Linked DNA regions of Kluyveromyces lactis. The protein of the gene in region 1 interacts with the protein of each later gene in a pairwise test. Links are inferred from orthologs where the notes say so. Each region holds a gene or a part of one and is shown on either strand. Other genes may lie near its edges. The genes, in order: ZNG1 and MAP1.

Region 1 (3,265 bases):
TTTTGTTGTCAATATTTTTGAATAAATAAGCAGCAGCAGTAGCCCCTAGCAATGTAATTGGTGGGTTCGAATAAATGATAAATCTCCATTCTTTGTGGGGTTGCAAAGACATGACTAAAACATGAAAGTATGCAGCAATTCCTACGACCCTGAATGAATTTGGGCCAATCTTGAACCCTAGATGGTTCAAAAGTAGTGCAGTTGGCGGGATGAACATCATTGGAAGATACCCCGTCAAATATGCAAAGAAAGGTTGGGTACCCCATTTGGAAGATTCTCCGTGGACAACGTTGAATATAAATGCTTCGATTTCAGGAACAGTTAAACGGTTCCAGAAATAAGAATCAACTTGAATAGATAAGAAAATTCCGGCTCCAGCACCGATGAACCCGGTCCTAACAATCGATGTCAATGAGATTTTTTCATAAAAGAAGGCACCCAGAGCTACACCAACCGCCAATACAGCAATTTCTAATCTAAAAACAATAGCAGTAAAGGACAATAATATAATTGACCACCTATAGTTTTCTTCCAAAGCCCATGACAAACCTAATAGTGACAATGGTAACGCCATGACAAAATTTGGCAAAGGTCTTGAACTGTAGAACATTAAATGGAATTGAGTAGCAGTGAATAATCCAAACCAGTTAGTTAGATCAGATGCACTAATAGTATACTTTGTGGTTGATGTAGTCTCCTCCTTCCCACTTTTTTGCTCCTGATCTTTCGTTAAGGCTTTCTTCGCAGCTACAATGAATCTGTTTAACGCCACAGTGTTCGTTAAGCCGATTAAAAATCTCACCAACATCTGGGTTCTAAACGGATCTTTTGAGATAGTCAAATTGAACGGATAGGTAAGCGCTGAGAGGATTAATGGACCAACAAAACTTCTCGGAACAGCACCGGCGAAAGTGACATGGTCATAATTCGAAACGTCAAATACACCATAAGTTAAAATATCATGTACGGCCTGCAAAGTAAAACTTTCCTCAACCTTAGTATAAGGTGAATACCATAAATGTAGCGACACCGCACAAGTAAGAACTGTAGTTAGATCAAATATACCGTCCATTGTTCGATGGTTGGCTTTCTCATTTATCTTTGTTCATTGTTAAAGGGTAGAAGTTTTCAGAAATTACCTCATCTCTTACTTTTTATACCGAAAAGCTCATCACTCATGAAAAGGATTCATCATCATCATCACCAACATCGGCTAGTAAATATATAACAAATAACGAACCGTGTAAACTACTTGAAGACAAATATAATACCTCAAGTTAGTACTCCAATGTCGGCACTTAAGGATTTTAGTTTCAAAGAAGATGAAGATGGAGAACTTCCCGTTCTTGTTACTGGGAATGAACCTGATTTAAAGAAAATATTGGACACATATAAACCAGATGGTGGGAAACACATTGTGAGCGATAAAAAGATCGCTTTGGCTAATAGACAGTTGGACGAGGATTTTGATAGACAGCAGCGGATTCCTGTCACCATCATAACCGGATATCTTGGTGCTGGTAAATCAACTCTATTGGAACAAATAGCGTTAAAGGGCTCCAATAAAAGGTTAGCAGTTATATTGAACGAATTTGGGGATAGTTCAGAAATTGAAAAGTCTATTACCATCAAGAACAAGGGTGAAGTATATGAAGAATGGTTAGATTTGGGTAACGGTTGCTTATGTTGTTCTTTGAAGGATGTTGGTGTAAAAGCGATCGAAGATATGGTTGCCCGATCTCCAGGTAAAATTGATTACATTTTATTGGAAACATCGGGTATTGCAGACCCCGGACCCATAGCAAAGATGTTTTGGCAAGATAAAGGCTTGAACAGCAACGTATACATTGATGGAATTATAACTGTTCTTGATAGTGAACATATTATAACTTGTCTTGATGATATTTCTCCTACTGCCCATTGGCATGGAGAGAAAGTTACGGTTGATGATGAATCAAAAACAACCATTGCACATCTACAAATAGCTATGGCCGATGCAATCTTAGTTAACAAATCGGATAAAATTGAAGGAGATGAATCAAAGAAATATGACCTAGAAAACGTTGTTCGCTCCATCAACACAGTAGCACCGATATATTATACGAAATTCGGGGATATCAATTTGGATCTCGTATTGGATTTAAACGCATTCGAAAGTACCAAGTTTCTACAGAAAGACTACACAACTACTTTTCATGATCATAGAATATCAACGATTACTTTAGCTTTCCCCTTTTTCCAAACAGAAGATCAGCTTGATACTTTTATCAAAGATTTCCTTCAAGTCTTGTTATGGAAAGATTTTGGGGTAGATACTGGTTCAGGCTTGCAGTCAGCTCACCATGAGAATCCCGATTTCGAAGTGCACAGAACTAAGGGTGTGATAATGGTTGGAAATGAATGCAAGGTCATTCAAGGAGTGCGTGACACATATGATATAATCCCTGGTGAAAAGCTGCCTAACATTACCGAGAATAAAATTGTCCTGATCGGGAAACATTTGGATGAGAATTATATTAGGCACTTGCTTAATAAAGCAATAAGTAGTCAGAAATAATACAAGTGGTATTTAAAGTAGATATGTAACATTTGAAAGAAAGCAAAAAAAGAATATCGGTTGTATTTCGTCTACTTACTTTATTCATTCTCCATTAGTTTTGGTACTTTCCAATAAAAATATCTGAGCATATAGTTATAGTATGTTGTTGTTTTGACATGAAGTAACAAAATCTTCTCCAAAAGAGGATCATGATCTCACAGAGACAATGTTTTTAGCTCTTGGAATGATAGATCTTCTGTTGGCATAAACGGTGACCAAAGCACCAATGAACAAGAACGCGAACACAAATTTAGCATATGGGTGTTGCGAATAGTAGTAATCATTTTCCAACTCAACTTCATTCTTAGCACCCTCTTTAAGTTCCTCTTCTAAAGTAATCCCAACAGAAGTGTCACCATTTCTGAATTGTTCCACCTTCTTTATATACTCTTCGTGCATTTTCTCTATATCGGCAATCCTCAACTCTTCAGTGTAAGTGTACGTGATTGAAACGTCATTTACTGGTTTGTCCTTATCATCGGTCTCAACATGTTGCACGTATTTCATTAGATCTTCAAGACCTGAAATCACTTGGCCGAATACAACGTGTTTACCATCCAAATGTTCAAGCGGTGTTTCAGAGGTAGTAATGAAGAATTGACATGCATTTGTATTTGGGCCCGAATTGGCCATAGATAGACGACCCGGTCTGTCGTGTTTCAAATT
Region 2 (3,245 bases), on another chromosome or scaffold:
CTAAATATTAGAGAGTATAGATTGATTTCGGTTCTATTAGAATCAACGTTGTGGACGAAAATGCAACAGTATCTTTCACTCTTTTGAATGTTATTCTTCTTCAACACCGAACGTTAGCCATAATTAAAAGCTTTACTTTCTCCATCAGAAAACTTAGATCACTGTTTTCGATTAATTTTTTTTCTTTGGAAGTGGCGAAAGCTAATGGTTACCCGGTTATTGAAGCAAAGCAACAATCCATGCTGTCGTGATCCTCATATTTATGCAAAGATGATGAAGATTATACTTTAGTAGGACCGCACATCTTCAGTATAATAAATACTAATAGTGGTTTTCAATGAGAATTCTCTAAATATTTTGGTCTTCTGTAAATTGATTTATATGATGATATGTATTGAATCTATTCACATGAAAGACTATGCCGAAATGATGTCCGTTATGACGACGATGATGGCTGTTTTATGGATTGTTTCCTATACGAAACGAGGTAAACAGTAACTTTCTCTATTGATATTCATTTTTTAACTATTGTCATTTCACTGGGTCTATTTTATCCTATTTCTTGGGCCGCCTGGAGACTTCTTGTTCCTTGCCGTCAAGACTTCAACACCATTCTCGGTGACCAAAAGGGTTTGCTCAAACTGAGCACTAACTTTACCATCCTTTGTTGAAGAAGTCCAATCGTCAGGCCAGGTGATATCTTGCCATACACCTTCGTTAATCATAGGTTCTATAGTGAAGACCATTCCAGGTTTCATGACACCGGGCGTTCTGTTGTTAGCATAATGTGGAATGCTGGGGGCACAGTGGAAAAACTCACCGACACCATGACCACAGTAAGTCCTAACAACAGAGCATTTGTTGGATTTGGAGTGCTTTTCAATGCAGTCTCCCAAGGATTGAAAAGTTACGCCTGGTTTACACATCTTGATGGCGAGTTTCAAACATTCACGGGCAGTTTCAACGGTATTTATGACATCCTTGGCGATAGTCTCACCAACGTAGTAAGTTTCGTTTAAATCTGCATGCATGCCTTGGTAATACAATGAGACATCTAAATTGACAATATCTCCCTCTTTTAGAACATATTTGTCAGGAACACCATGACAGATAATCTCGTTCACAGAAGTACAGACGGATTTAGGGAAATTATAGTAGTTGAGAGGAGATGGGTATGCTCCCCTCTTGATAGTCTCGTTATGCACTATCTCATCAATTTCATCCGTAGTGATACCTGGTCTAACTGCGGCGGCCGCAACATCTAGCACTTCTCTACCTAGAGCACAAGCTTTTCTGATCCTCTTAATTTGCTCCTTATTGTAGACAGGAATCTTGTTTGTTCTATCATTTCTTTGTTCGATGATGGGTAGCCCATTTTCTGCCCAATCTGGTTTCTCGATCTCATCTGGGACCTGTCTTTTTGGCGACAGAGGGTATTGAGCTTTCAGCTTGCCAGTATACTTGAATTTTGGAAACGGATCATACACCTCACCAGAACCATCTGTACCATAATGTAAAGCCTTATGCTGTTTGTACCCGTCTTTGAAACAAGATTCTCCACAAAAGACCTCTTCAATACCTTGCTTCAAGCAAATCGGGCATTTTAACATCGAATCTGTAACTTTACCACATTGTAGACTAGAACAACGGACATTAGCGATTTTTTCCTGCATTTTTTCCTCTTAGTGTCTTCCAAGATTTACAGCTGCTATGTCAGTAAGTGCAGTTCAGAAACACCTTCTATATCACTTGGAATACGTTTGGTATAAATAAGTGAGAGAGAGGAGTAGAAAGAGCTGTATCTGAGCTTCTCTCATCGCATCTCGTTCTCATGTTCTTTATTAAAGGTCGAAACAAAAAATTTTATTTGAAAAGTCAGATGAGTTTAAATGTCATACTTTTCTTTTAATTCTACAGTGCGAAGACTCCGCATTATCTATGACACATTTCTAAATATCTTAGGAACAACCTCGGTTTAGGGCGATTGAGAGAATAGTGCTTAGAAAATTTTGATTAACTGGCGGTTACTTCTGATCCTAAGTAGCTAGCTTATGAGAAGGTGTTTTCCAAAGGCATGTTTTCTTAACTTTCTCTCAAAACGCTAATGAATAATTACTATATAGAACTTTCTTGATTTTTGATTTCGTTTCTTACTATGGAAAAGTTCAAATCTTGCACAAAAAAGAGTCGAATCTTAGCTCACCTATGAAAGTGATCTGGGCCGAAGCTTTCTGGCAATAGTTCATTGAGGGTCATAATTTTTTTGACAGAGGTGTCGCAGTTTGTCATTATTATTGGCAGATCTTCTTTTCCAAACTCTCTGATCGTTTGCCGACAGATTCCACATGGCGGAATGTAATTATCTCTCATATCGCTGTTGATAGCGACACAAACCCAATCTGCTCTGTGGGAGCTTGTGACAGCTTTCACGATAGCAGCTCTTTCTGCACATATGGTGGCTCCATACGTAGCATTCTCCACATTGCTTCCTGTGATATAAGTACCATCTTTTGTCAGTATGCAACATCCGACCCTAAATTTTGAATATGGACTATAGGAACCACTTTTTGCTTTTTGACTCTCTAAAATGGCTCTATCTACCTGTGTAGGTTCAATACCGTCCAGTTTGCTCTTGATCTCCATTTTATACTGCAATGATGCGTATTCAGTAGCGAACTGGGTCCAGCGTGTATTATACGCTCGCCTCTTGGTTTCTTTATACAACGATGGCTGATATCTTCTTGTGTGAGAAATACATCGTTATCATATCGAGATTTTATATAATGAAATATGTCACTATCTGCTTGATTTCGTCTTGGCTGCTTTTACTTACAAAAAATTACCGTTGATCGCAAAGCACATATGAACTATATGTATGTAAATATAGTAAAGCTAACAGTTCCCGTTTGTCTACTGATACAGTTTTCCCGCCATATTAGATGCTCGCAGGGGTATAGTACGATGCTCTTCCTTAAGTCCTATCACGTTTTGTGTCATGCTAAACATGTACGAGGGTCCAAAAATTCTCGTCACGTGACCTGAAGTGTCAGCGCTCAAACTAAAGCGGAAGAAGAAAGAAAGAAGAAAGAAAAAAAAAACTGAAACTAGGTATAAGTCAGGAACGAGAAAAGGTGAAAGCTTGAACATAAAACAGCAGTTGTGGAAAGAGGAGAACGAGAAGCTGATTTCGCCTTACTTGACACCACTGCATTATTTTTTTTTTCCTATTTTAACGCAAAGGAGAG

What was found.
Region 2: the proteins of ZNG1 (region 1) and MAP1 interact in a two-hybrid assay, tested with the Saccharomyces cerevisiae proteins (2 studies listed by BioGRID). The link is inferred for Kluyveromyces lactis from reciprocal best matches to the Saccharomyces cerevisiae genes ZNG1 and MAP1.

The regions. Positions count from the first base shown.
Region 1 is NC_006039.1:752,810-756,074, forward strand, and holds ZNG1 (GTP-dependent zinc transferase), read left to right. Parts: upstream 1-1,288; coding exon 1,289-2,557; downstream 2,558-3,265. Other genes in the region: ALG12 (dolichyl-P-Man:Man(7)GlcNAc(2)-PP-dolichol alpha-1,6-mannosyltransferase), read right to left, coding at 1-1,072; KLLA0_C08635g (uncharacterized protein), read right to left, coding at 2,747-3,265. UniProt on the Saccharomyces cerevisiae protein: Zinc chaperone that directly transfers zinc cofactor to target metalloproteins, thereby activating them.
Region 2 is NC_006040.1:1,553,383-1,556,627, reverse strand, and holds MAP1 (methionine aminopeptidase MAP1), read right to left. Parts: upstream 1,674-3,245; coding exon 546-1,673; downstream 1-545. Other genes in the region: CDD1 (cytidine deaminase), read right to left, coding at 2,200-2,643. UniProt on the Saccharomyces cerevisiae protein: Cotranslationally removes the N-terminal methionine from nascent proteins. The N-terminal methionine is often cleaved when the second residue in the primary sequence is small and uncharged (Met-Ala-, Cys, Gly, Pro, Ser, Thr, or Val).